4 linked regions of the Coturnix japonica genome follow. The protein of the gene in region 1 interacts with the protein of each later gene in a biochemical or structural test. Links are inferred from orthologs where the notes say so. Each region holds a gene or a part of one and is shown in the gene's direction. Other genes may lie near its edges.

Evidence for each region.
Region 2: the proteins of ANAPC11 (region 1) and UBE2K form a complex in vitro, tested with the Homo sapiens proteins (3 studies listed by BioGRID). The link is inferred for Coturnix japonica from reciprocal best matches to the Homo sapiens genes ANAPC11 and UBE2K.
Region 3: of the proteins of ANAPC11 (region 1) and PTTG1, one has a biochemical effect on the other in vitro, tested with the Homo sapiens proteins (3 studies listed by BioGRID). The link is inferred for Coturnix japonica from reciprocal best matches to the Homo sapiens genes ANAPC11 and PTTG1.
Region 4: the proteins of ANAPC11 (region 1) and UBE2C form a complex in vitro, tested with the Homo sapiens proteins (66 studies listed by BioGRID). The link is inferred for Coturnix japonica from reciprocal best matches to the Homo sapiens genes ANAPC11 and UBE2C.

Annotation. Positions count from the first base shown.
Region 1 is NC_029533.1:4,443,929-4,450,406, reverse strand, and holds ANAPC11 (anaphase-promoting complex subunit 11), read left to right. Parts: upstream 1-3,629; 5' UTR 3,630-3,683; coding exon 3,684-3,792; intron 3,793-4,012; coding exon 4,013-4,158; 3' UTR 4,159-4,299; downstream 4,300-6,478. Other genes in the region: ALYREF (THO complex subunit 4), read right to left, coding at 239-416, 570-633, 728-875, 2,955-3,086, 3,278-3,508; NPB (neuropeptide B), read left to right, coding at 4,300-4,497, 4,774-4,902. UniProt on the Homo sapiens protein: Together with the cullin protein ANAPC2, constitutes the catalytic component of the anaphase promoting complex/cyclosome (APC/C), a cell cycle-regulated E3 ubiquitin ligase that controls progression through mitosis and the G1 phase of the cell cycle.
Region 2 is NC_029519.1:62,464,848-62,472,218, reverse strand, and holds the end of UBE2K (ubiquitin-conjugating enzyme E2 K), read left to right. Parts: intron 1-3,229; coding exon 3,230-3,358; intron 3,359-3,712; coding exon 3,713-3,787; 3' UTR 3,788-5,073; downstream 5,074-7,371. UniProt on the Homo sapiens protein: Accepts ubiquitin from the E1 complex and catalyzes its covalent attachment to other proteins. In vitro, in the presence or in the absence of BRCA1-BARD1 E3 ubiquitin-protein ligase complex, catalyzes the synthesis of 'Lys-48'-linked polyubiquitin chains.
Region 3 is NC_029528.1:9,899,167-9,907,017, reverse strand, and holds PTTG1 (securin), read left to right. Parts: upstream 1-2,666; 5' UTR 2,667-2,786; intron 2,787-3,029; 5' UTR 3,030-3,050; coding exon 3,051-3,132; intron 3,133-3,414; coding exon 3,415-3,590; intron 3,591-3,933; coding exon 3,934-4,027; intron 4,028-4,487; coding exon 4,488-4,637; intron 4,638-4,969; coding exon 4,970-5,049; 3' UTR 5,050-5,120; downstream 5,121-7,851. Other genes in the region: pre-mRNA-splicing factor SLU7, read right to left, coding at 720-884, 1,157-1,237, 1,948-2,101, 2,247-2,410. UniProt on the Homo sapiens protein: Regulatory protein, which plays a central role in chromosome stability, in the p53/TP53 pathway, and DNA repair. Probably acts by blocking the action of key proteins.
Region 4 is NC_029535.1:9,479,892-9,487,076, forward strand, and holds UBE2C (ubiquitin-conjugating enzyme E2 C), read left to right. Parts: upstream 1-3,421; 5' UTR 3,422-3,647; coding exon 3,648-3,748; intron 3,749-3,895; coding exon 3,896-3,923; intron 3,924-4,018; coding exon 4,019-4,105; intron 4,106-4,182; coding exon 4,183-4,387; intron 4,388-4,470; coding exon 4,471-4,530; intron 4,531-4,609; coding exon 4,610-4,668; 3' UTR 4,669-4,790; downstream 4,791-7,185. Other genes in the region: DNTTIP1 (deoxynucleotidyltransferase terminal-interacting protein 1), read left to right, coding at 213-281, 613-669, 907-968, 1,385-1,430, 1,863-1,921, 2,111-2,171, 2,561-2,632, 2,903-2,958 and 1 more; regulator of G-protein signaling 9-binding protein-like, read right to left, coding at 4,995-5,404, 5,480-5,669; TNNC2 (troponin C, skeletal muscle), read right to left, coding at 6,562-6,593, 6,685-6,821, 6,897-7,011, 7,085-7,185. UniProt on the Homo sapiens protein: Accepts ubiquitin from the E1 complex and catalyzes its covalent attachment to other proteins. In vitro catalyzes 'Lys-11'- and 'Lys-48'-linked polyubiquitination.

The DNA of each region.
Region 1 (6,478 bases):
TCTGGTTGACACAGGCTTCAACAAGCCAGGAGAAGTTGGAAAAGGGGCTATTTATTACTCATGAGTAACAGTAGATGTGGAGAGCTAAGGCAGCTGAAGGAACAGGGCAATGCTCAGCTTTAGAGGGAGGCTATTTAAGTCAAATGACCTGAAAAACAATTTCTCTTTCCAGCCAGCTGCCAGTGTTTATCAAAAGGACGCTGTAGGTACCCGTGACCATCATGTGAGCAGCACTTACCCTGGCATTGTAAGCATCCAGCTGTGCATCTAGTTCTTCTGCAGAGAGCTGCTGTTTGGAAGTTCTTCCAGCCCCTCTGCCTCTCCCTCTGCTCCCACCACGACTACCTCGCCTGGTACCTCCACCACCAAATCCTCCTGTACCACCACGGTTTCTGGTCATTCCACCTCTGTTTACACTGTGATTTTTAAAAAGCAACTGTTATAGTGCATTCTGGTTAACCCCAACAGGCACTCAGAAGGTTGCAGGACACGAGGAGGATTCCATGCTTCCTACACAGGCCAGTTCACTCCCCGTGCTGACTGGCACAGCGACTCCCGCGGCTTCTCACCTCTGTGCTGGTCTCCTCTGTGTATCTATCTGTGATGTAACCAGCTGAATGTTCATGGGGCGCCCTGCAGGAAAAGCAGCCAGTTACCCTGTGAGTGTGGCAGGCACACAGATGCCATCAGCCGTGCAGAGAAGCACACGACAGCCACAGAGACTCACCATCCAAGGGGACTCCATTGTACTGCTTCATAGCTTTCAGAGCATCTGCTTTCCTTTCAAAATGCACATCTGCTGTTCCTAGACTGCGTCCGGATCTGTCGTAGTGCACTGCTGCCTTCTTCAAGGTCCCAAATTCCGCAAAGAGTTCCTGAGAAACAGAGGGAGAAGTGAATATGCTTCAGTCAGCTCTGCAAACACCGAGCAGCCCAGAGAAGGTGCAGGCAGCTCCTGCTTTCAGCAATATCATGTACATTCCATGACACCACGCAAATAGCACCAGTGAAAGAAGGAACACAGGCCACTAAAGACTTCCAGAAAGCAGCCACAGGTGGCAGAAACAAACAGGATTTCATATCCACCACTTGAAGGGTGCTTGTATACAGCCAACAAAGTGGCCCCAAGGTATGCTGACCTGCTCCTCTTCCCAGGGACATTGCCAGTCTGTATAAACTGAAAGCAGGAAATCTTCTACTGAAGAGCATCGTTTACCATCACGAGCGATGGAAGGCTGCAACAGTGGAGCCACCCATTTTGTTTCACAGAGGCTACATCTAAGATGTACATCTGGGGACATCTCACTACTTTGCAAGTTTATACCTACACCCCACTCTTCAAATGTTTGAAGCACACAGAATTGTCAGGTGTCCAAAGCAGACACCACAGGCTGCCTTCCATATCACCTGCAGCAGAGCCCAAACACTATTCCAGCCATCTCTATAATTCCTATCCAAGCATTTGAAAGGAGCATATAAATATTTTCACTTCTTAAGCCAGCTGCACTTTATGCAAGCCTGTCAGTGAGTTTCTCTACTGTGTCCATTTACTAAACATGAACATACAGCACCCAACAAGCTTTCTGGAAGACAGCACCACATGGGAGGAGAGGTGCTCCATCACATCCCTGTCCTGCAGAGAAGCTGGAGCCACAGCACCACACATACTCCTACAAGAGCAACGTGAACGAGGCTCCCACCAAGCCCCTCATTCCTCAGCACTGAGCTGAGCAGAACCATATTAATGACACAATCAGCACAGAAACAAAGAAAACAATCAGTGCAGCTTAGTGGAAAATTACGGGATGGGCAGTAACAAAGAGGTACAAACCCATTAAGTCAGCTTTGCTGCTACATATAATATACACAGATGTTTGTCTGCTCCTGCAGTTCAAGCCAACTGTGAAAAGGAAACATTCAACTGCCACACAAAACACATTAATTCCTTACATTGAGATAACTTTACAGATTCACTTTTACACGTTTGGGCCTGATTACAGCAAACAGGAAATGTATATCAACTGAAACTAAACTCACTTGAGGAAAAAACAGTGGTTTTAAGTGCATCGCTCAATAACTAGGTGACCTAAAAAAGCTCACTTCCAATACTCCTGATGCAGACAGGTTGAACCGGAATGAATTAACAGAAGAAAACATAGAAGTGATTTAGTTATTTTTTTCTAGAGGAGATGCAAGGACCAGAAACCATCCAAAGCTCTTTGCAATGTGACTAAGTCAGGAAAACCCTTCAGATTGGATGCTCCTTGGATCTGCAGATGTTTCTGCACAACTTGTTGCCCACAAGTAAGAGCAGCCCCACAGCTGTGACTGCTGTGTCACAGGCACAGTGACTGCAAACAGCCTGCACCCAGGGCACAGCTGGAACAAGGGATTGAGCTGCAGCTGGTAACTCAGCTAGAACATTTATCTGTCATAAGATACATGTGGTAATTGTGGAAATGACAACATGAGCGAGCAGGTACCCCCTCACAGACCAGACTTCTCAATATCACTGGTGCTTCTATAAGAACACCTTGAGACTGAACAAAACTTTAACAAAAAGTACATAAACAGGTACTATGAAAACAGCGCCAATAGATGTATATATAGAGCTACTGAACGTCTGGAATTACACAGACCTTAAAAGCTCACACAGCCTGTGCTAAGCTCTGCAATCACAGCAGGACTGAGCGAAGGCAACATCCCCCCCACAGCATCGTGGTAGAGATATTTCATATGTGATTACCTACAGCTCCATAAAGACTGGGACTCTTCTGAATCCAGCCACTCCAACTGCTCAGCTCAGAGCCCCAGCAGTGCGTGAAGCAAAGGGCCAGGCACCGTGTGAAGGGCCCTTCCAATGGGAGCAGGGCCAGCAATGCTCTATGGCCACCCCCAGCACCCAGCACCGATGGAATGAATGAAACCCCCCGGGAACAGCGCCGAGCCCGTACCTGGATATCCGCATCTGAGACGCCGAAGTCCAAGTTGGAGACGAGCAGCTTCCCGCCGGTCTCCACCCCGGCGCCGGCCCCGAAGCCGCTGTCGAACAGATCGTGCTGCCACTTCTCGGGGAGCTGCTTCGGCTGGAACGACACGGACGTTTCGCTGAGCGCCGCCGGGTCCCGCCGGGACGGCTCGACCGCCGGCAACGGACAAAGGGCCGCCCGTCCCACCGCCCCCGCCCCGTCCACGAACCGCCGCCCCCCGCCCCGCACACCGGCCCCCTCCCTCCGGGCCCCGCCGACCGGGCTCCGCCCCCGCCCCCGTCCCGTACCCGGCTGTACGGCGCGGGCCGATTCCTGCCGCCGCCCCGGGCCATCACCGGCCTGTTCCTCACGGGGCCGCCGCCCGCTCGCCCGGCTCCCACGCCGCCCCGACCGGGCCCGCCCCCGCGGGTGACGCCGCCTCGGCCCCGGCCTCCCCGGCCGCCGCCCCGACCGCCGCCGCGTTGGCTTCGGTTGAGCTTAATGATATCGTCCAGGGACATGTCCATCTTGTCGGCCATGATGGCGGCTCCGCTCCGGGGCCTGCGCTTCCGGCCGCGCTGCGCCGACGCCGGAAGCGGAAGAGGCGGGACCGGCGGGCGGAGGCGCGCGTTCAGATTGGCGGGGCCTCGTGGGGGCGGCGGGCGGTACTTCCGGCGGGGCGGCGCGGACCGGAGAGCGGCACTTCCGGCGGCGATGAGGGTGAAGGTGCGGAGCTGGAGCGGAGTCGCCTCGTGGCTGTGGGTGGCGAACGACGAGAACTGCGGGATCTGCCGCATGGCCTTCAACGGCTGCTGCCCCGACTGTGAGTGCGGCGGGGCCCGGCACGGTACCCGGTCCGGTACCGGGTATGGTACTCGGTATGGTACCCGGTATGGTACCCGGTCCGGTACCCGGTATGGTACTCGGTATGGTACCCGGTCCCGTACCCGGTCCGGTACCCGGTCCCGTACCCGGTACTGTACCCGGTATGGTACCCGGTCCGGTGCGACCCGGCCCTTCCTGACTTTGTGTCCACGCCGCAGGCAAAGTGCCCGGGGACGACTGCCCGCTGGTGTGGGGGCAGTGCTCGCACTGTTTCCACATGCACTGCATCCTCAAGTGGCTGCACTCGCAGCAGGTCCAGCAGCACTGCCCCATGTGCCGCCAGGAGTGGAAGTTCAAGGAATGATCCTCCCCGCCTCCTCCCGCCGCTCCGGTCCCGGTTCCGTGGGCGGGGAGCGGCGCTTTCCCTCGTGCTGCGCGGCGGGGGCGGCCGCGGCCATAAAGACCCGGAGCGGCCGTTCCGCAGCGCTGCGCCCCCGCCGGCACGATGCGAGCCGCCCGCTGCCTGACTCTGGCTGTAGCCGTGATGCTGCTGTGCCGCCCCGCCGCGCCCTGGTACCGGCAGGCGGCCGCTCCGCTCTCCTACCCGGTGGGCAGAGCCTCGGGGCTGCTCTCCGGTCTCCGCCGCCTGCCCTACAGCCGCCGCTCCGACAGCAGAGGTGCCGCTGCTCCGCTCCGCACCGCGGTGAGTACCGGGATGCTCCGCTCCAGGAACGGGCTGGTACCAGGAATGCCCTGATTCCAGCAATGCCCTGATTCCAGCAATGCCCTGATCCCAGCAATGCCCAGATCCCAGCAATGCCCTGATCCCAGCAATGCCCTGATCCCAGCAATGCCCTGATCCCAGCAACGCCCAGATCCCAGCAATGCCCTGATACCAGGAACACCCACCTGCCCGGCTCCGCGGGCAGCCCTGCTCCAAAGTTCCCACCCAGGAATCTCTGTGATACTTTCCCCACAGGTGCCGTGTGTGATGGATGTGGACCCCAAGCTACGGAGCTGTCGGCTGCTATCGGGAGTCCCCGGTGCTCTGCAGTGCAGTGTGGCTGTAACCGTGTCCTTGGGCTCCACAGAGTGTGGGGGGGCCTGAGGTGGCACGGTGACTATAGTGACAATAAATGCACGTGGAATGGAAAGATGTTGTCTGTCCTTAAGGGGAGGGAAGCCTTTGGGGTTGGGGGGAGCCCACCAGGATCTGGGGCACACAGGGGTGCCCTGAGCAGCAGTGCCCACCCAGAGCTGTGTGCCCTCTGGAATGGGTGGGAGTTTGGGTAGTGCCACAGGCACTGGGGGATGGAGCACAGCTTGGGGCCCCACTGCTGAGCTTAAGGTGAAAAAAAAACAGTGCAGGGAGAAGGAATCCATTGAAATTGATCTTCCAGTGCGTGGAGCAGCCCAGCTCTGAGCACAGTGCCTGTGAGCAGAGCTGCTGCAGTGGGAAAGTCTTCCACATGGCTGAGGATGAATCCCCTACCCCTCCCTGCCATGTCTTCAGTTCTCTGAGTGATACAGGAGACAAATCTGAAGCTGGGGGGTGTTGTACAGGTCAGGGTAAGCCAAGCTGAGGAAGGATTTTACCCTGGGGTGGGAGATGCTCTGGGCTGAGGTCAGGGGAAGCCACACACTGACCCCCAGCAACACCAGCACTGCCACTGCTGAGACTCAGCCTCCAGGTTTGCACATCTACAGGAACTCATATCAGCACTGACACAGCCTCAGCCCTGCAGTCCAACTGTCCTGGTGGGACAGGGATGGTGCTTTTGGTTGCCCATGGCTGTTCACATCCCTGTCCTGCTGCCCCCATATTTGCCTGCAGCAGGCAAAGGCCCAGCCCCAGGGTGCAACCCCAGCCAGGGCAGCACACAGCACCCAAGCAGGCACACACAGGCCCTGGGGCCCTTGAGCAAGAGACAGGGCTGAATAGGCTGCAGACTGATCCAGCCCCATGCTGTGAAGGTGCCCCCACCCCATCGTGCACCCACGCAGGGCCCAGCACAGCCCCACATACCCAGCACTGCTGCCACCGCTCACAGCACTGCGCTTCACAGGGGTGGCTACTTTGGGATTGGTGCTGGAGCCGAAGTCCTGAGCTGTGCTTGGGAAAGGAAGGAAAAAGAACAAATAAAACAACAAACAAAACAAAAAAAAAAAACCACAAAAATATTTATTCACAGACTTTAAATTCATTTAATTTATTTCCTCATTTTTACTCCACGCTCATTTTTGCCCTTTGGGACTCTCAGGATGTGAGCAGATACAGACTTGAAATGAGAATTAAAAGGGCCCGCAGGCTCCCAAAGCGGGAGATGTCATGTGCAAATGTTTTGTGCATAGAAATAGCAGTGGGCAGCTGCACAGAACACTGCTCCACCACGCACCCATCTGAGCAGGCAAAGCTGAAGCTTCTTTGGTAATTAAATGACACCAAGAGGCACGTAACCGAGCGCCAGGATCAGAAATAGAATGGTTCTGTCAGTTTTTAATAACAGCAGTACTTGTGTTGGTGCTGGGGGTGGCTCATTGCATGTAGATGCTCTCAGCCTGGGGTCAGTTTGTCATTGAGGTGGAGGTGGTTGTGATGATGGCTGAGCTGTAGTGAGCCAGGGATCAGTGAGGCAGAAGCCCCAACTCTGAGAGCAGCACAGGCAGCAGAGACTCACTGGAGC
Region 2 (7,371 bases), on another chromosome or scaffold:
AGTAGGTGCAAGTTACTACAGTATTTTGTGCTTTACTCTATAGATTTCAAAGTAAATAGCAGCTACTCTGCAGTGTGAAAAGATGTGGTTTTTTTTTAATCTTCCTTATTTAGCTTGTAAGAAATGTCAGGAGATAACGCATAGTAGAATGGATCCCAATATAACTTTCCTTTTAAAATCTGAGATTTATATAAACATTGGCTTATATAAAACAAGTTACACTAAAACAAGTTATAACCTGGTGTTTGTTGGATTTGAATTGGCTTGTAGCTCCTCTTCTGGATTAGTGTGAATTGGTGTTGGTTTGTTAAATACAAAAATCTTAGCATTAGATGCTGCAGGTCGCTACTCAACAAGACACGTTTAAAAATCTACATGGAGCATTCTGTATTTTACCTGTGCAGGTACTTGGGTTAACTATTTTAGTCTAGTTGAGTATGTATTAATGGAATTCTCATGTAATCAGCAAGGTTTGTTATTCTTCAGACAGTAGCAACAATTTATAAAGAAATAATAGCTGGTGGTATTTAAAATATTGATTGAAGATGGGAACAATCTTTCCATGACTTTAATCGTTTGACAGTTGTCAGCAAAATCCCAAGGATGCATGTGATTTTCCTTTTTTCTTTGGGGGAAAAGAGAGAGAGAGAAGGCTTTGCTTTGCAGTTGACCTTATATATATCAATATATAAGGATATATTTCAGTAACAAAAAAAAAACTCAAGCAAGTAAAAAGTTCTTCCAGCATCGATCTCATCTCTATCTCCTGTAAGTCAGCACACTCCAGGAAAGGGTAAGAAGTGTGTACTCCTTTCTCCTAAAGTCTAGTCTGTGTAGGATGACAGTTAATCAGTTTATCACAGCTGTCTGCTTTTAAAGGGAAATGTGGAGAACATAGGAGACCCATTCAGTCTTTTGGTGGAAAAGCTGCTTTACGTTTTCCTCTTTCACATAGAACAAAAATTGAGCTTCCTATTCAGGCTGCTGAAAGTAGGATTTCCGCACAGAATTCTAATGATCTCATAGAAACCCTTCAGCTGGAAACCAGATAGAAAACTTCATAAAACTTCCTGAACTCTGAGTTGCAGTTTTCCAGGTGGCCTTTCAAGTGCCTTAGGGGGTGTCTGGTGGGACCCTGGTGCAGCTGGTGTGGGGAAGGTTCAGTTTCTCCCCTGCAGATATCTACATGAAGAGCCATTTTGCTTTGCTAGCAGGTCGGCCTTCAGTTACACACACGTATGTAAGTAGAAAGTTGTTATAATCCCTTAGAGAGGTAAAGGTAAACATCCAGTTCTTCCACACATGGTCTTTTTTCCAGGTCACCTGTCTAGTCCCGTCCTGTTGTTCCCTTCTACCATCCCCCAAAATCTTCTCGAAAAGAAAATCTAATAAGGAATTATTTATCCTACATGCTCATTTTTTGTTTTACTTTGCTAATGTATGTAATTATTTGTTAGATGAGGTACAAGGCAGTATTTCCTACATGTGCTTCAGCTGAATCCCAGGGAGAACGTGACGTTCTACTCCTGCTCAGGTAATGGCAGTGCTTTCAGGTACCTGCCATCTTCAATGTCCAGTGCCAAAACCACTTCATCATGCTTGACTGGTTGCAGCTGGTTTTTAAGTACAGCAGCATAATTGACTGTGATTTGCAATACAGAGACATCAGTAAGAGGTGCTTGTGTGCTTCTCAATTCAGTGAGAAGCCAGATTATTTACAGGTACCTAAGTAAAGGAGTTTTATTTATAGAACGCTGAAAGCTAGTTCTGAATAAAATGCAGTTATGCAAACATGACTTCAATCCTTTCCACTTCAGCTGGTTGCTTATTAGGTCTGTCAATGTTTTCAGTTCCATAAGAAAAATAGAATAGGAATATTTCTTAAGACAGTAGAAAAATACAGTGTTTAGGGATGTTACTGATGCTACCCTTACTGCTTTCTCACTTGTTCAGTTGTAACGATTAAAGATGTGTTAGAGATCAGTGTTAATGTAAGAGTTATTTCTAGCAGTAGAGTATCTTCTCCATTTGTTTGAACACCATTAATAGTCAGTGACTATGTGGGGTTCTTCGTGGGGAGCAGAATTAGCAGGAGGTACATGCAGCTCATGGTGCAGTTGAACTGGGGGCTGTGCTGTAGGAAAGGAGAAATGAAATGTGAGTAGTACTCACTTGGTCAGTACTTCACAGAAATGACTCTTTAGTTGTATGGATAAAATACTTTGAACGATAATTGGTTGTTTCTGTCCTTAAAAGTGACTCTAAAATTGTGCATTTTCCAGTGTCTTGTCTCATCACTTCAGTGCTAAAATTCATTATGTAGGTAAGGTTGGGAAAGCTTTTTCAAGAGGAACGAGGAAGGGGAAAAAGTGTTCTTGTAATAAAGGCGGTGTATGGTTATGGAGAATTAAAACTTGATTTTCTAGATGAAAGTTGCTGGAACAGGAAGCATCATCTTGCTTTGCTGTGTACAGTTCGTGACAGATGACCCACTTTCCTGGCTTTGGAGTTGCTGGCACAGGCCGAAAGCTCTTGCTATGGTCGTTCTGTACTTTGCTGAAAATCCTGCTAATGACAAGACTGGCGCGGAAGAAAATTATGTGGTGTATTTAAATGCTATTGTCTGATTAACAGTAGCTTGCAGAGAGTTGCAATCTCCTAGTTCGTAGCACATTCACCTATTTTTTCAGCCCTTTCATATGCTGCCTGCCCTTATGATCTGTGTTTGGAGTAGGAGGCTGTGTAGTAAAAGCGGCCCTCCCTGAAAAACTGCACGAGTCCTTGCAGCGTACAAACCAGGCATCGTTTCAGGGATGAGAGGAGTTTGTGAAAGTACAGTGTGATGCATACATTCAGTGGTTGCTCACATAGGAATATGCTTTGCTGTGCTAGATAGAAACGTTTGGGAGCAGTACGAAATAAATCTGCTGTACTCCTTTCTGATCAGTGCAGTCAAGAGCAGTATTGGATTGTGCACACGCCTGTGGTGTGTCACTTAACATAAGGGCAAACTCATTCAATTAAATGCTCACATAGTCTTTAGCTACGTGTAATGCTCACCTCTGAGTGTTGTTTCAAAAACTTGAGTGGGATCAGTGTGAAACAGGGTTAAAGCAGTGTTGAAGATGTTAGAGAAGTACAGAATGGAACCTGCTGTGCCATCGGACTCTTTGGTTGGCTTGCTGAGTTGATTTAACTTCCCATTCTCCCCTCTCTTTCTTTTGTGTAGTACAAACAAAATCCAGAAATGTTTAAACAGACAGCTCGACTTTGGGCACACGTGTATGCTGGAGCACCAGTTTCTAGTCCAGAATACACCAGAAAAATAGAAAACCTTTGTGCTATGGGCTTTGATAGGGTAAGTATATACATGAGGTCTCTCCCAATCCAAGGTGTTCTTGAACATTTTTCAGTGGGGGTGGGGCAAGTATATATGTGGCGATAGGGGGAGCCATTCGGATGTTGAAGTGAAACTCACTATTTCTGCTCTGTTTGGCAGTTCGATCATAGGGTTTAGCTACAATCAGAGTTCTGAGGGGCTTCATTATTGGTAGATCATGAGTTCCCCTCACCTCTTCTCAAATATGATTAGTTAAGACTTGAGTGAAAAACTAACACACTCAAACTGATAAACCTGCAAACGTCTCATTTCTCGGTCGCAGGCTCACGCACTGGAAATGTTACTGTTTACCTGTTTGTTTTCTCATTGCAGAATGCAGTAATAGTGGCCTTGTCTTCAAAATCATGGGATGTAGAGACTGCAACAGAATTACTCCTGAGTAACTGAACCACATAGAGAGCTGCTTCGGTTGTCCAGCTTGCCCCTTCTGGAGGAGCATCACCATCTGTTATTTTTAGGATTCTATATAGATTCTCTTTTAAAACTGGCACTCTTGCCTGATGATACTATCTAGGCACTATTGGAGACTGAAAAACCGCTCTGTAAATAAAGCTAATTAAACGTCTGTGTAAATTTAAAAAGGGGAAATACTTTAATTTTTTTCTTACTAAATATTGTAAAAATTCTTTGAGCTCAGCTAAAATAATGGGGGAAAAACATGCCTACTTTTGTGTTTAGCAGTGTGGCGAAAACTAGCAGGAACTTTCTTCAGGATTTTGATTTAGTAATTCAGAAAGCCACGTTTTTGAGTGTTAGTCATCAAAATTGTTGGTGCCGCTCATCACAGCTATCTTACTGTTCTTAACATGGATCCTTTGTGCCTGTGGATTGACCTATATTTGCATGCTTGTACTTAATAGACGTATTAGGTAGGGTCGCTGAAGAGAGCACCATTTAAATACTCGAGTGTTCTTGTACCTATTTTCCTGAAAGGCTGAAAAAGATTTACCCAAAGTTCCAAATGGTGACCTATTCAGAACCTTTTTCTTTGTAGCTTATTAATTGGGAATCCAGATTCTCTTCTCCCTTACGTCATGCAGCTAAGAGCCCTCCCTAGATTATTCTTCATTCTGTTGGTATTGTGTGCCATGTATGGTAGTCTAGGCTCGCCTATGGAGAACATATTTTGAATTATCGACGATTTTCATCCATCATTGTATTTTCTACGCACCTGGCAAGGGTTTGTATGCCTTGATACAGCACAAGAATGGAGCTGGTTTTCTTTCCTTTTTGTTTTCCTTTTCTTTTTGTCCAAAGTGGATGTAAAATGTTCTTCCGTGTATCTTGGATAATATGACTTCACTGGATTTGAAGGAGGAAAAGTTAATTCTCTGGCGTACTGAGAATTATATTTTCTTTTGAGTACTTGATATGATGCAATCAGCTGTTTTTTGCAGCAGTTTTCTAGCTTTATTTTGGGCTTCAGTTTAAGGATTGCTTTCCAGGTACTTGAAAACTCATCCTTGCTCGCGTTTTTCTCTAGTTGACACATGGAGGCTGTGTTGGTGTTTTTACTGTACATACTTCAAATGCACATAGAAGTTTGTTCTCAATTTAGCTTTCTTTTGGATTGATGATGTTTCTGATAAACGAGAACTGAAACTTACTTTGGCTTGTACATACAGTCAGTCGTCTTATTCGTATTAAAATGACATTTCATCCTGAGTGCAAAAGCTTGAAAATTATTAGTTTTGCAACTTCAAACACCAGTACGTCTGTGTAAAGAGAACTGTAATGCCTGTACGAATACGATGCAACTTGTGAGAATACACCTGACAAGGAGTTCAGAGGAATCTGAGAATAGAGCGGGGATTGTCAGTGCAGGAGCACGTAACTCACTGTCTCACAGCTGTGTCTTTTCCCGAGCAGTGTATGAATGGGGGCGGGGTGGGGAGGCGCGTGGCTGGTTGGGATTTTCCTTGGACTATGAAGTACAGGCCGAAATGGTTCCACCCTTTGTAGAGGTTTGTTTCCAAGTTGTGCTGGATGAGATCAGGAATGCTGCACCTGATCAATGTCCGGAGCATAGTTGTTGTGGAACAGAACCAGAGAACAGAGCCGTGCAGACCCAGCTTCGGGGATGTGCTCCCAACTCTTCTGTCCCATGTGTCCAGGATTAAAGTATTTTGGGGCATGGACAGTGAATACTTGTAACTCATATCAGTGCAATACTAAATGCATTTGCTTAGTCTTATACGTAACTGCTTTTTGAGGTGTAGTCAGTGATGACTTTTCTTGGATTTTCTGGAGTTAGTGTAAATCATTCTCGAAGATGCCAAAGGAAACAAATTGCTTTGTCTTTCTTTATAGTTATTTATTTTTTTTAAACAAGAAGCTGCTACTGTTCTGCTGGTTTGTGAGCTGAGAACCAGGGGGCGGTAGGAAACCGGCTAAAGGCCACTAGTGTTAGCCTCAAATTGCTGTCTGTTCTGTTGTACAGGGTAAGAACTTGGTTACATCAACCTTTTTTTTGTTGTGTTGTTTTATCCTGGTGGTAATTATACATTGCTGACTACTTTCCTTTGCTCTTCGCTGCTATTTATCAAAAGAAGGGGTTCTGAAATTGTTGTCAAGGGGTATAAAACTTCTGCTGTGGGCTTCTGAACGTGTCTTGATGAGATGGGTGTTCTTAGGAGACCAACTGGAAGCATGTGTCTGGAAATACCCAGATTTCCTCAACTGTGTATAAAGGAAGAAGAGTGGAGGTGGTTCTGAGGTGGTCACGGTCACCGCTGAAACAACACCCCGCTAAGTTTTATTTCTCTTGTGAAGTTACCTCATTTTTGTCTCCGTAGAAGAACGCTCGTCTACCCCTTTCCCCTTCCATGTAGCTGTTGGACGCTGTGTTTTGCCCTCCATCCCCACGTGCTTTACAGCAGAGATACCTCGATGCTGGCTCAGGTGCTGGCTGAGGGCGGCTTAAGGCCTGAGCTGGGAAGGAGAGATGACCAACAATAAGGAGACATCAGTGGGCTGAGTTCTGATACCAGTCCTTTGTAAGGAGTGGTTTTGTCTTCTTGATAATTATCAGAGTTGAATATAGGAAGGAGGTTGTACAAGGTTAGTTTGGCTGCAGCTGGGGCTGAGCCCCGGGGAGTTTACTATCAGCATTCAGCTCACTGAGCTTGTTCAGAATGCGGATCTGTTATCTGTGTGAGCATCGCCACGTTCTGGGCCCTACGTGTTTGCCAGCGCAGAGCTGCACACAGGTCACTGCTGCAGGCTCAGGATGCACATTTTCTGCTTGCTTAAAACAGGAATGTTAAACGTGGGGACAGTTGTTTGTACAAATAAAGCTCGTATCGTCTTCCTTCAGTATTTAAGAAAGCAGCTTGAACACTTATTCTGAAGTGGATGGCCCAGTTTTTCTAAGCAAGGTGTTGCTGATGGAGCGCACAGATTTCCAGGCATCAGGTCTCACTGCTCAGTGTCTTAATGTGCATCTGGTGAAGTGGCTGCTGGGGAACCAGCACCTCCTGTCTCACCCGCTTCCTCAAAAAGCAAAGTCTAATTTTGCATGGAGATAAAGGAACATCCCTTTGTCGCCAAAAGCCCGTTTTCCTGCCAGTGCCAAACTCTTCTCTCTGGCCTCTGCTCCCCCTTCCAAACTGGCAGCTTCCTCCATTGTGTCTGTGAAGGACCAACGGAGACTTTTGAACAAAACTTAGTACTGGATCCTTGCAGAAAGTTGTGGCACGTGGCGCTACTGCATGTACCAGGCTTCCCCTTAGCAGCAAGATGAAGCCAGTGCCAGCTCTGGGTGTGAGGGAGCAGCTTTATGGTCAGGCTGGTGCCAGCTGGGCACTGTGCTGTGCCTGGACCAGGAGCTGGCTGCAGAGCTGGGTGCTCGAGGGCTACAGGGCTGCTGTCTGTCTTCTTTCAGGTTAAACAAGAGTTAAACAGGCAGGAAGGAGCTCACCTGGTGGTGCTGAGCCTGCAGTGGGTGGTGTGGGGAACAGGCAAACTATGCA
Region 3 (7,851 bases), on another chromosome or scaffold:
TTAAGACTCATCACATTGTTTTTAGAGACCAGAGGGAAGGACGCTATACATTAACTAACCATCTTACTGTTTTATGGTATTCTGATAAATAAGCAAGTTTACCACAGCTCATGCAGCTGTACCGTTACTATGTGCAAACTAATTAAAAAAATACAGCTTATTTTAGTTCAGCAGCGCTTGAGAACAAAGGTGTTTTACCACAGTGTCCTCATAACGTAGTCAGGATTTCAATAGTTAAGGTATTTCATTGAAAGATAGTGCAAGCATTTAAAATTCAGACAAGAATCATGACATTTTAGCAATGGAATTTGTATTTTAAAGCAGCACAAAGTAGGTTTCTATGTGTATGACATCACAGAGCCACAGATACATGTACCAACAGCCACTGTTCCACAAGAGTAACAAAAGGACTTTGGATAGTATCTAATAGCTTAGAAATTAACTTTTTGCCTACAAATTAATCCACACCTTTGTCAGTACATTATAGGGCTTGTCTAGCAAAAACAAGCAAATAGGAGAGACAGTATGACAGATCTATACTGAGATCTGAATTCCTCTATTTCTAGTTCTAGTGCAGTCTGCTAACACAGCATACAGCCTGTTTTTCCATTACTGATGCAACACAAGACCTAACATTATCAGTGTGCAAAACAATCCACCCTCCTCACAGCGTATCCAAATGCTTCATTTTTCCACGGTGAACTGCAACACCTACATACCAAGTCAACCTTGGCATACTCTTCTACAATCTTCATGTGCTCTTCTGGGTTATAACCATTCCAACGATCTCGCTTTCCATCGTAATCAAACATTAGCTGAGGCTGCACGTGTTCATCTGGTGCAATATTCATGCCTGTGTATTTAGCTCCAACTTTCCTGGGTCTCTGGAAGTGAAATACATACAAAAAGGTTGGATCAGTTGGTCCAATTTAAACATACATTGAGACACCGCTCTTTAAGAATGGCATCAGTAGAGCTCTTGTAAAGCCAGTTAAGCTTAGCATGATAAGCCATCTGACTTGTAAATAAATTCAAGAAGTTCAGTTCTGTATTTCAAAATAACTAAGTAACTGTTGTTTTACCTATAGGGTAGGCGTTTTTCACTAAATTCACGTTTACTTCTGAACCATTAAAATATCAACAGTGTCAAGCTTACCTCCATACAGTCCTTCTTTTTGTGTGTCAGTGCACCACAGTTCTCACAAGCTCCTTTCCGGTATCGGGTAGCTATAGAGTGCTAAACAACAAAAGAAGACAGCGTTAAACATTAAACAAACACATGCTAAGATTCATCTGTGTATTTCTCCCAGCTGACTTATTTACTTTTCTAACACAACTAAAGCACACATGCTCCAACCAAACTCAAAAGGCCATTTAGGTGACTACCAAACACTGGGTAATGAATCATAGAATCATAGTATCACCAAGGTTGGAAAAGACCTAAAAGATCATCCAGTCCAACCGTTCACCTATTACTAATAGCTCCCACTAAACCATGTCCCTCAACACAACATCTTCCCTTGAACACTCCCAGGGTCGGTGATTCCACCACCTCCCTGGGCAGTGCATTCCAGTGCCTGACCACCCTTCCTGAGAAGTAATACTTCCAAATGTCCAGCCTGAATCTCCCCTGCTGTAGCTTGAAACTATTCCCTCTGGTCCTATCACTAATGACACGAGAGAAGAGGCCGACCCCCAGCTCACTACAACCTCCCAACATAACTCAGGAAGTTATGGAGAGCAATGAGGTCCCCCCTGAGCCTCCTCTTCTCCAGGCTGAACATACCCAGCTCCTTCAGCCTCTCCTCATCTGCTTGCTGTGTACAAATTTCCAGTTCCTGTCACCCTCCAAAGCATATAACCAGATCTTGCAGGGTGTCACTGACTTATATCTTATTGCATAGGAATAATTAAAAGCTTTGTTTTAGGACAAAAGCATCCCCATACCTCTTTCACTCCCCGTTTGTACCAGTCTCCTGAGGAGCTGTACTGCTTCTGCTTCTCTGGCTGAGGCCTCTGATGCTTTAGCGTAGGTCTTTTGGAAGGATCTATGTACCACGGGACCGAAGATATGTACTGAGGAATGTGAGGGTTGATATCTCTGTAAAAGGAGATATGAAATTAATACACGGCACAGGAAAAACCACCGCACAATTTAGCTTAATTAACCTCATGTTAAGCTCAGCTTCACAACTCTGTAACCACATAAGCCTACTTTACAAACCGAGCTGTGTTACAGAACTTACTTTCCTTCCTCATCCACCTCAGCAGGCGCGTTCCCCAGCTTCCTCTGCTCCTCCAGCTCCTTCTTTTTCCTCCAATCCTCCCTCGTCATCTTCTTCGGCTCCTCCATACTCACATCTCCCGGCCCTCCCGAAGGAGCCGCGTTTACCGCCGTCCCAGACGCCATTTTACTTCCTCCTAAAACACTAAAAAACCGCACGCGTTCCGAACCGAACCGATCCCACGAGCCTCCCCCCGGTTACCCCTCATAGCCCAGAGCCTCCACCCAGCCATACCGGGCACAACGACCACCCAACACCCCAGCAAAGCCCACCCGGTCCCGCACCTCCACTCCCTGTTTACCAACTAGGCCGCACCGAGACCCCGCCCCTTGACTGCCAGGGCAACGAGGAGCCGGAACTCGGTAGTCACCAATGGGGCGGCTGAGCGTTAATCGAAAGCGGCCTATGGGAGCAGCGGGGCGGGTGTAGAGGCTGGTTGTGCTTATCGCTATCCCTGCTCTTCTCCTCGCTCTGCTGCTCCCAAATCGGCTTTTCCCGCAGGTAAGTGTGCTGTTTTTCCTCCATGTTTTCTTTCTGGCCTGTTGAGCGATCCTTCTGCCCTAAAGAAGGGCGGGCCTGCGAGGCGTTGCTTGGCCGCCCAGTGCACGGTGCCGTGTTATCAACCGCCATATCTAATACTGGCCCTGTGCTCAGTCCAAGCTGCCATCATCATTCCTAGCATACATCAAAAACTTGCTGTTTCTATTAGCAAGAACTGCCAAGATCTTCTGTCTGCCTTTCCAGGGTGGTCTCATCAGCCCAGAGATGACGACGCTGATCTTTGTGGATAAGGAGGATGGTGAAGTTGGTGCTACTAAGAACCAGTTAAGACGCCCTTCGGTATCATGTGAGTATATGCTCCATGGAGACAGCGTGGGATGGAGTAAAGTGCGTGTCCTGGGTTTTGTTAATCACTGTTTTGAACAGGAACAACAAAATGGGTTAAGCAGATAAATAGTAAAACTAAGTTTATCAGCTATTACAAATATGAAAATCACCTGTCTTTTGAGCTTATACTTTTGATCTAGAAGTGGAGAACAACAATTAGCTTTCTAGCACACACACTTCATTAGAAGCAAGCTTTAGGGTTGACAAGGTGCTAAAGCTTGCTTTCCTTTCCTGTCTGCAGCAAAAGCCTTATCAGAAAGAACACAAGTCAATACTCCACTTCTAAAAAAAGCAATCAGAACTCCAGCCACATCTCACTCTGTCAGAAAGGCTCTTGGAAATGTGAACAGAACTGTAGGAGTTACAAGCAAGAAGGAACAGAAGAAAGATAAAAATCAGCCTTGCAGTGCAAAGAAAGTGAGTACAACCCTTCTGTAATGGATGGGAATCAGAGGAATGCATGATGTACCTACAACAGCTTAGGGAACACACAAGGGCAATGAAGTAACTCTAGACAAAATATTGGCTGTGTTACTGTCTTGTTCATATTCTATTTAGTGGGAGTTTATTGTTATGAGCCTAAATATCATACTGCAGAGATTTGTTGCCACTGTGTACCATCATACAAGTTCAACTGAAGCATTTTCCCTTTTGCAGCTTATTTGTATCAAAGGTGTTAAAATCCAGGTTTACAGGCACAGAAAGGGTACTACACTGAGAAAACACGACAGCACAAATAACTTGACTTCTTCATTTTAAGGTTGCTGAAAAGGCTGTTGGATTAGCAAGCTGGGATGGAGGGGGTGATGAAGCTTACCCAGAAATAGAAAACATGTTTCCTTTTGATCCTCAAGGTAAGAACTCTTGGGGTAATTATTAAAACCTAATTGGACTTTGATTAAGTGTTGATGCTGCAAGACTTCCACTGAGCTGTTGTGGTGACTAAGCTGGTATTACATTTCTCCAGAGTCCTTTCTTAAACATAAGGGCATTCAATATTTTGGAAGCATGACCTTGTTCTTGTTTGAGTGTTTTAAATATACGTATTGCTTGATATAGTTGACACAGCATAGGGATTAGAAAAATTCCTTAAAACTCTTGCTTTATAATGACTGTTACATACACTTCAGATAAGCATTAGCATACAAAATTGCATGGACACTAATAAGTAACTGTAACTAAGCACTCCATAAGAAGGAACTGTTGGACTGAGTTGTCCTGGAACTACTCCCATTTCACTTAATCAAGGACAACTTGCAGCTTCACATGCTATTGTGCGCTGTTACTAAACTACAGCGTGTCTTTCCTAAACAGACTTTGAGAGTTTTGATGTTACTGAAGAGGATAAACTAAGTGATATCAAGCTGCGTGGTGTTCCTCTCATGATATTCCCAAGTACTTATGACAAACCTGTGGACCTAGCTTCTTCACCTATAAAGCTTGAAAAGATGCCATGGGAGTCTGGTAAGTGGAAAATTAGCCTGAGGTTCAGCGCATATTAGTGATTTAGGAAGGAAGTGAGTTTGTTGCAGTAGTGAACAACTATTGCTCTTGTAAGTGCAAGAGCAGGATGCTTATCTCAAAGAGCACTCTGTATGTAACTGAGCTGAATTTAACTGGTCATCTCTACTGGCATGGGTAGTGGTCTCGAAGCTGCACTGCCATGTAACTTTCTGTAATATATTTCTAACTCATCATAGCCATTCAAGAGGCTTATGCTAATCCACCAGCAGCCAGCTGGAGTGTAAACTTCTGGATTTTATGAGTAATTGATCTCCTCTATTTCTAACTTTCAGACTTGCTAGAACCACCTGCTGACTTCATCTCTACGCTGGATTACGTCATTGATATGCCGCCTATGGACTATGACTTCTAAAAAGCATACTCTGAAGTTTCTGTTGAATTTTATGTTTATAAATAAAGGTTACTTTAACTTGTGAAATAAAACTTACCTTGCTTTTTCTTTCAGTAGAGCTAATATGCTGCACACCCAAGATGTAGGCATTTTACTATCTGACAGGCTATTAAAACAAAACTTAGTCTTGCTTAAAAGCTCATCTATAATTCAGTGTTCTGAACTGTATCCAGATATTAATATATGAATCTTCAAGTCACAAGTATAGATTCAATTTCTTAGCACTGTTATTGTTCTAGTTCTTTTCAGTAATCATGGAAAACAAGTGAGGTTTAGAGGTGGCATTATTCATAGTTGCCTGCTGTTACCACAGTGGATAAAAGTTGGTTTGAGGTGCTTAATGAAAGCTGGAATATGGGGGCCCTCACTACAAGAAAGACAGGCCCTAGTGCACAGTCAGAGAAGGGCAACAAAGCTGTAGGTGGTCTGGAGCACAAGTTCTAAGAGGAGCAGCTGACGGAGCTGGGATTACTCACACTGGAAAAGAAGCAGCTCAGGGGTGACCAAACCACTCTCTACAACTGCCTGAAGGGAGACTATGGTGAGAAGGGGGTCAACCTCTGCTCCCAAGTAGCTAGCAGTAGGACAAGAGGGAATGGCATCAGATTGCTTCTGGGGAGGTTCAGGTAGGACATTAGTGAATGCTTCTTCAAGAAAGAGGTCAGGTGCTGAAATGGTCTGCCTGGGAAGGTGGTGGAGTCACTGTCCTTAGAGACCTCCAAGAAACATTTAGATTTAGATGTTGTAATGAGAGATGTGGTTTAGTGGGAATTACTGGTTGGACTAGGTGATCTCTGAGGTCCTTTCCAACCTTAATGATTCTAATATACTATTCTATCTTACTGCAAGTTTTTATGATGCTTGTATATGCATAGTAGTTCAGATATCTACTACTATAAACAGCTGCTTAAAGTTCTGGAAAAAGAAGTAATATTTAGTTGCAGTGGCTGTGTGAACTCACCCTTGTGAGAAATGAGAAGGAACTGACAGCAAATGGAAGTCCTTGTTTGATATCTACAACTAAATTTTTAATTCTTAAGTTAGTTTCCAAAGCAGTAAAAAGCCAGTTCAGGAAATGTAATGCTGTAATGTGGTGGAAAACAGCAATGAAAATGGGGTAGCAGAGTCCTAGGCTGCAACAAACAAGGACAAGCCCAAGTGCAACATCCATGAATGCAAAAACAAAGGAGAAAAGAAAGCTGCTCACCTTCAGAAGGCCTCACAGAAGCAGAAATCTCCAGCAAGATGCACTTACCTCCACTGCAAACCCTTAAATGAGATCTGAGGAATCCTGGTCCCACCCCTTCCAGTCATTCGGTTTCATTGCATACACCTGAGCTCTACCTTCCCACCAGGTGCTCAATCACTGCTTCAGGCCATGACTTAGCAGGAACCATAGCTATTAATGTTTGCTATTCTTGCTGGGCTGCGTGCTAGTGGTACACAGGGTGTTGTTTAGTTAAGCATTGTGTGTCAGTAGAACCTACAGTTCCTATTATTGCCCTCCCTGTGGCTGTCTGACTCATCTATCACCTAGGTATGAGTTCTCCATCTCACTTCCAGCATGCTAAATATTAAGTGCTAAGCATTCTGCTGATGTTCTTGCAATACTCTTGAAAGGCTGCTTGGACTCTGTGCTTTCTATGTTTGTAATTAAGGTCCTCGTGTTCTGTAGGCTGTTCTTTCAACTGTTTTAATTAAAATACATTGAAGATGTTGCTATTGCCACTCAACAGAGATTCTGAGCAATCTCTGCAAGTTACTCAACTCAACTTTTCGCTTCATGCTGTCCTCTGCTATACTGTCAAAGGTAGAGAAAATCTTTTTCCAGACTAGAAAGGATAACAGGCCTCGGAATGTTTCAAGTCCTTAATGCTTTTTACTCATCAGAAGCAGATAAGCCTGAAGGTAGACAAGCCTTTTGGGAATTGTCCTGTTGCAAATCCTGACCTTTAATCAGGTTTCTGAACTAACAGCCACCTGAAATAGAAATGCGTTCGTTCTGCTTTGCTCTCAAACTTGTCAGGGTTTTAGGCGGTGTTAAATACCAATGAATTATACAATAGTTGCTCTTTGTCTTTATGACTAGCTCCTTGCCTTTGGCTTGAAACTTCAAAAAATAATCAGGAGAATATCAGACTAGCAAAAACTCTGAACAGAATTTCCTTTAATCACATATTTCAGGTTTTTGATGATCCTTACTTCAGACTCAAGAAATATTAAAATTCGCATTGCCTTTTCAGCTGAAAACTAAGTTTGAGTATAATCTAACAGTTACAGGAGTTAAGGCAAAACTAGAAGGGAGTAAGAAAATGCGTCGTCCTCTAGTTTTGTCTCTGCCAGTTCATTTGGGCTGGGACAAAAGAGTCCAAACCCAATAGAAGCTGAAAAATGCCTGCAAGGCACTGAAACTGATCACACAGTGCCACCATGTGGCCTCCTATGCAGTCATGCAAGTTAAAACAAAACAAAAGTCATTTGGTATAATACAAAACACTGGCTAACATAATATGAGATACTGCAAGGCTGTAGTGCTAAATCAACATAAATGCATAAATATAAGCTGTATCTATTTGCATGTCCACCTGCTTCATCGGGAGAGATGCCAGTATTTTTTGTTAGGGAGGTTTTTATAACAACCCTCCCTTACTTGTTCTTCTGAAGTATTTAGTAATCAAGTACATACATCTATTCTTCACACCTCCAGTAATTACATTTTGGTACCATACCCACAGTGTGTGCTCATGATGTCAAAACAATCAG
Region 4 (7,185 bases), on another chromosome or scaffold:
CAGATAGACCCAAATCTTTAGTCTGTAGTGGCCAGATGTCAATAAAGAGTTTGGTCTTTAGATGTGGCCTTTATGTTTCACATGGTCTGGGGCTTTCCCATCAGCACAGGTGCCTTTGAAGATGGATCTTCTCATCACAGGGTGAAGCAGGGGTTGTTGCTGGTAGTCCCCCTTTCCACCCAGAATAGGTGACCTTCCTTCTCTTTCTACAGGCCAAGCTGCTGTTCTCAGATGGCAAAAAAGTTGTGTCCAGGTTGCCCCACGAGCAGATGGGACCAAAGGTAAAAGTTGTTGTTCATGGAGGATTAAATGATTTGTAAGAGCTGGGAGGAATAGAATGACGGGGTTGGAATTATCTACTAGCTGTGCAAGTGAGGAGGTGGAGCTGGGAAATGTTTGTCTTGTGGGGAAAGTAACTTACAGACCAGTGCAGACCCCAGGTGCAGCATCTGAGTGCTTTGCACTGCTATGGGCTGCCTGCAGAGTTTGTCTGTGCCCTTGTGCTCTCTGCCTTAAGTCAGCAAATGAGAGCTGCAGGCTGTGTGCTTGGGGCCCTGCCTGGCTGGGATGGGAGAAGGGTTTGTCTCCATCCTCCCACCATTCCTCTTCCAGCGTGCCCGACAGATGGATGAGGAATTGAATCGTCGAGGAAGCCCCCTTCCCAAAAAGGTAGGAGGGTTTTCCACATGAGGGATTTTATGTTTTGGGAGATCTGTTCCTTGCTCCTGTTACCACAGTATGAGCATGTGCAAGTATGAATGGTTTTTGTGAAGGCTCAGAGGTGCTTGTTCTCATGCTGTTGTTGTGCTTGTGGTAGAAAGAGCTGCTTCTGTAGGATGGAACAGATAATCAAAAGGGTCCTTTCTATGTGCACAGTTGAATGACTGAAGGATTTCTTCCATGCAGAGAAAGGGACGGCCTCCAGGACAGAGCCTGTCAAACGATCGTGGGGTCTCAGGCATGTCTGCGTGAGTATGGGCCTCAAGCTGCTGCCCGTGCTTTGGGGGGGCAGCGGGAAACAAAACTGCCTGAAGTAAGGGGCACCAAAACCTGCAGTGTCCTTCCCCCTGCACAAAAGAGAGGTGTAGGGGGGGATGGCAAAGGGCAAGAGAGTTTTGGCTGAGGTTGAGTCACAGGAGGCAAAGCCTTCCAGGGAACTGTTTTAAACAGGGCCAAAGGATGTGCAGAACCAGGTGGATGATTCAGTGAGCTGTGTGTGACACAGCTGCTAACAGGGAACACAGCAGAGATGGGGCTTCAGAGAAGGTGTGAGAGGGTGGATCTGGAAAGGCTCAAACTCAGATTCCTGCCGCTGGGAGCTTGTGGTGTCTGTCTGCATTGATCTTTCTAGGACCTGTTCTTATTTCACTTTCCTTCCCTTCAGGTGGAAGCTCAAAGTCTCTGAACCTGTGAGAAGGGATGGACCAAAGGTATTGGCTGGCTGATGCTGCTGGGCTCACCCTCTCCTCCCTTCGCTTCCGCTAGCAGAGCCCTGCCTGCAGCGGCAGCACAGAACAGACCTAGGTTGTGCCCTACTCTGCTGAGTCTCTACAGTGCCTGGAAGCCTTTGCTTGCTTCCTCCAGGCACTGTAGCTCTGTGGTGTGGTGCAGCTGTTAGGAGACATGGGGAGAGCCTTAGTGGTAGCCAGGAGGATCCCACAAAGCGTTTCCTACAAGGGAAACAGCTTAGATCAGCCCAAGGTGGTGCAGTTTCCTTCCTCTGTGGCAATCCAGAGGTTTGTGGCTACCTCCCTCCCTCCCAAATCAGTTCTTAGGTTCCCCGTCAGAGAGCTGAGGCTCGTGGAGCATTGGCTGGCACCAGCTTCATTTCTAATGTTGCCCCTTTTCCAATTGCTCTGTAGTGGGATCCATCCCGACTGACTGAAACCACAACCTTTGTGCTGGGATCTCGAGCAAACAAGTAAGGAATGGCCCTGTTGATGGAGGGTGGTGTCTCCCAGGCAGGAGCCCGTAAGACTCCTCCCGTCACTTCACTTCTCTGCCTCGAAAGCAGTAGGAAGGGCTGGGGCCTGGGGAGGAGAGGAGGTGCCCCGTGCTGCTGCAGGGCCCCTCTGTCCCAGTGTAACACCCCCTTGTGTTCCTTTTTCAGAGCTCTCGGGATGGGAGGAACAAGAGGGCGACTCTACATCAAGCATCCCCACCTCTTTAAGGTCAGATACCACAGCAGGATGCCTCCTCCTTTGGGGTTTGTTCAGAAGCAGTTTGTGATGGGAACTGGGTGTGTGCGCTTTGACTCGCTTGGCTTTTCCTCCCCACGCCCCATTTGTTGTCTTAGAGCACGTACACACAACCTGGCCAGCACACTGAAACACGTTAATGGTAGCACAGCCTCTCAGGTGCTGGTTTTGCCCAGAGTCAGGGTTTTATTTGAGAGCAGAGCAGGCAGGGCTAAGCCCTCCCTCTGGGAGCCCCCAGCACCGTGCTGTGGGGGTGAGGTGCTGGCAGCAGAGCACTGGAACGGGCTGTGCCCCGCAGGAGGGTGGTCCAGGTGGGAGGTCTGCGTCCCGTGTTCAGCCAGGTCCTTGCTGCTTTATTGCAGTACGCAGCCGACCCGCAGGATAAGCAATGGCTGGCAGAGCAGCAGCACCTGAGGGCCACTGGGGGCAAGATGGTGAGTACGGCCGGGCTCGTGCCCACGACAGCCCAAGAACTGTGCGGAAACCTGCTCAGGATGGACAGGGGCGGAGGAGCAGAGAGGCCAGGCAGCGTGTGGGGCAGGGCCACGAGGAGGACAGGCAGAGCAGGGCTGGGCCGAGAGGTGTTTGCTGCTCCTGGGGTTGGGCAGGAACGAGAGGCAGCACTGCAGGGACAGGGGGCAGAGCTGCCCCGTGGGCACCGCGGGCCCCAGCAGAAGCACAGCGCGTGTCTCGCCCTGCTGCAGGCCTATCTCCTGCTGGAGGAGGACATCCGCGACTTGGCGGCCACTGACGACTACAGGTGAGACCCCGGGCTGTGCACACGGGGGGGTCACCTGGATGGCTCCCTATACCGGGGACCCCATAGAGGCCCGGCCTGCCCCCGGGACCCCTCGGCCCGCACTCAGCCCATTCTCCCTTAGGGACTGTGTGGACCTGCGGCTGGAGGAGCTGAAGCCCTTCGTCCCGCCTGCCTGGATGACGGAGAAGATGCAGAAGTACATGGAGACGCTTCGCAACGGGGGGGACCCGCCGCCGCCGCCCCCCGAGATCCACCCCGAGGCCTTTCCTGAGGGTCCGCCCGTTGGACACCCCGAACACCCCGAGCCCTCACACCCGGCCCCGGCCCCGCAATAAAAGCCGCCGCTTCGCACCCGTTTCCACGCCTGGTGGGGATTTGGGGCGCGGCCCCTTTAAGGGCTCACGCTCCGGGGTGGGAGGGGGAGCAGGGATCTTCTGCGCATGCGCCGTCCCGCCTCTTCCGGGTCCACCCGCCGTTCTTTTAGCGGCCGCATTCTGGGCGGTGTCCGATTGGTTGGTGGGAGCGGAAGTGCGCGCTGATTGGTGGAGGAGGAGCGAGTTTGAAACATTCAAAACGGAGTGCGGGAGCGAGGCGGAACGGCGGGCGGACACAGCGGGAGCGGGACAGGAGCGGACCGAGACCGAACCGGACCGAGAGCAGAGGGACCCCACGAGCGGCCCGGAACCGCCATGGCCTCACAGAACGCCGACCCCGCCGCTGTGCCCAGCGCTGCGGCCCGCAAAGGGGCTGAGGCGGGAGCGACGGCTGCACGGGGCTCCGTGGGGAAGAGGTGAGGCCTGGATCGGGACCGGACGGGCTGGGCCGGGCCGGGCCGCCCTGCATTGCCCTGCATTGCCCTGCCCGGTGCTGTGCTGTGCTGTGCCCGGTGCTGTGCTGTGCTGTGCCCGGTGCGGCCCGTAACGCGTTGTCCCCGCAGGCTGCAGCAGGAGCTGGTGTCGCTGATGGTGAGTGTTGTTGTGCTCGGTGTACTCGGGGTTTGGGCCGTGCCGTTGCTGTCGGTTCCGTACTGACGGTTCCGTCCTGATGGCGCTGCCCGCAGATGTCCGGCGATAAAGGCATCTCCGCCTTCCCCGAGTCCGACAACCTGTTCCGTTGGATCGGCACCATTGACGGCGCTGCGGGCACGGTGAGACCCGGCGCGGTGACACCCCGCACGGTGAGACCCCCCCGCTCCCCCCGCCCCGCTCTAAACTGCCCCCACAGGCCTACGAGGAGCTGCGCTATAAGCTGTCCCTGGAGTTCCCCAGCGGGTATCCCTACACCGCGCCCACCGTGCGCTTCCTCACGCCCTGCTACCACCCCAACGTGGACGCTCAGGGCAACATCTGCCTCGACATCCTGAAGGAGAAGTGGTCGGCGCTGTACGACGTGCGCACCATCCTGCTGTCCATCCAGAGCCTGCTGGCAGGTGGGTGTGAGCCACGGGGGCTGCGGGCACCTCTGACCCCCCCCATCCTCATCTCCCCCTTCTGACCCTGCCCTTGTCCTCAGAGCCCAACATTGACAGCCCGCTGAACACACACGCTGCTGAGCTGTGGAAGAACCAGGCTGGTGAGTGCCCCCAGGATCCCCCCCAGCTGTGGCGGTGGCACAGCCCCAACCTCAGCCCGCACCCCCCCTCTCCCCACAGCCTACAAGAAGTACCTGCGGGAGATGTATGGCAAGCAGGCTAAGAACCAGGAGACCTGACCCCCACCACGCCGCCCCCTTGCCCCTATCTGCTGCGCCTTTCTGTATTATAGGCTGTTTTTAACTTAATTCTGGAGTGTGAGCTACGGTTAATGTATAAATAAATGCATGTCTATAAGTTCTTCCATCTGCTTACACGCATTGCGCAGCTGGGTTACCTGCAGTGCTGTAGATAGGGGGGCTACAGGGCAGATGGGGGGATGAAGGGATGCAGATACACATCAGGTAATGCGGGGCTTTATTATTGCCCTGCAGTTGGCAGCTCGTGGGGCACATGGCTTCCCATCTTCCTGAGCCAAGTCAGCCCTGCGCTTCCTGCCCCCCTCTCACAGCACCCTACAGCAGGACCCAGTGCCAGGCCCTGGCCTGTGGGATGTGGGCTCTGTGCCCTCCTCTGGCCCCACCACATGCATGGATTCCACCGTCCATAGTGGGATGTTGGCCGTGCTCTCCATCTCCACCATCATTGCCCTCACCTGCTCCATCTCCTCCTCCAGGCATGGGGGAGTTGGGGGCAGCTCGGGACCCCCACCTCGCCACCGCCCCAACCCAGTGCGCAGTGGGGTCACACCACCCATCCCTGGGGAGAAGGTGCAGCAGAGGTGGTGGGCACAGCACAGGTCCTGCAGGAACAGCTCCAGGGCAGAGAGGAAGAGCACCCACAGCCGCTCCAGCTCTCGCTGCTCCTGGGGGCCCACAGCTTGCTGCAGCCACGCCAGCAGTGCGCTCTGCAGCCCTGCGGGATGGAGACACTGAGTGGGCTGCAGCCCCTCTGCTCAGCCCCTGTGCTGCCCGCTGCACGGACCCTTACCGACACTGAGCTCCCGCACCTCCACGCTCCTCCTGCGCCGCTCCTCACGCAGCTGGGGGCCATCAGCACTGCCCCCCAACTGCAGCACCAGCTGTCGGTGCCCCGCTGCCGCCTTGCAGAGCGCAGCCTGGGTAGCCACACACACCCCTCGTGCCCCGCAGCCTGAAGCAGCCCCTCTCCCCGGTGCCATCCTGTGCCACAGGGACTCAGCTGCTCAGTGGCTCTGTGGGGCAGGGATGGGTTCTGAGCTGGGGTCCTGCTCAGTGCCTGTCCTGTTGCTCCCGCAGGCACTGGGTGTTCCCTGTGAGCCCCGGCCCAGGGCACGTCCCAATCTTGGCACGCTTGTGGCTGTGCTCCTCCCCAGCTCCAGAGGCTGCACGGAGACACGGGTCCCCAGGGAGAGCTGGCACCAACCAGGCTGGCTTTTCAGCATTGCCTTAATCCCTGTGCAGAGGTGTGGCTGCTGTCTTGAGGTTTGGAGGGTTGGGAAGCAGTCCCCAACTTTTCGTGTCAGGATACCCCATCCTTTCAATCAGAAACCTAAGCAGTGCTTGGCCCCCTTCTCTCCCCCTTCCAAAATCCAGTGTGGTCACACATCCTGTGATGTGAGCAGGAGCAGCCTCCCAGTGCTGCCTTCTGGGACCCTGGGAGGAACAGGGCTGTGCTCCCTGCTGCTGCTGTCGTGGGAAGCGAGTGCTCCTGATGGAAACTCTGAGCTCAGCGCTGCCTGGCGCCCACCCAGCAGCCCATGGGAACCACTGCTCACACACTCACAGGTCAGCCCGGCTGGTACAGGGTATGGCACGGCATTGCACACACCCCCGTGTCCCCCTCCATGGGGTACAGTGCCACAGACCCCCCAGGCACTCCCATACTGGCAGCTCAGCCTTTCCCCCTTTTAATGAGGTTCATCCATAAACCACATCTGTCAGAGTCAAGGAAAAGCTCAGCCGCCAGCCGAGTGGCACGAGCTGCTGCAGGGCTCCAGCGGGTGGCAGCGAGGCCAGGCTCTGCGGCGGGGCCAGTCCTGGGCGGAGGAGCAGGGCTGGCTGCTGCAGGCGGCCCAAGGAATGTCTGATCCCTTACTGCACTCCCTCCATCATCTTCAGGAACTCTGCAAGAGAGCGGCGTTATCAGACCCAGCTGTGCCACACACGCAGCCCAAAGGGGCTGAGCAAGCTGCAGGGTGAGGTCCTGCCGCTCACCATCGAAGTCAATGCGACCATCATTGTTCTTGTCTGAATCCTTCATGAGATCTTCTATTTCCTCCTCGGTGACGTGCTCCCCGGTGGCCCTGAGAATCTCACCCAGCTCTTCGATGTCGATGAATCCATCAGCGTTCCTGTGGGAGAGGAAGGGCAGGATACGGCCCCGCTCACCACCACGGACGGGTGTCACCAGGCGCTGCCCCACTCACTTGTCAAAGATGCGGAAGCAGTTGGCCAGCTCCTCCTCTGACTTGCCCTTGGCGTCCTCTTTCATCTGGCGCACCATCATCACCAGGAACTCCTCGAAGTCGATGGTGCCGCTGCCTGTGGGGAGGGACCGTGATGTGGGTCAGGCTGAGCACTCCAGACACCCACCACCCCCATGGAGCCCACTCACCATCCTCGTCCACCTCCTCGATGATGGCGTCCAGCTCCTCCTTGGTGGGGTTTTGGCCCAGCATCCTCATCACTGTGCCCAACTCCTTGGTGCTGATGTCC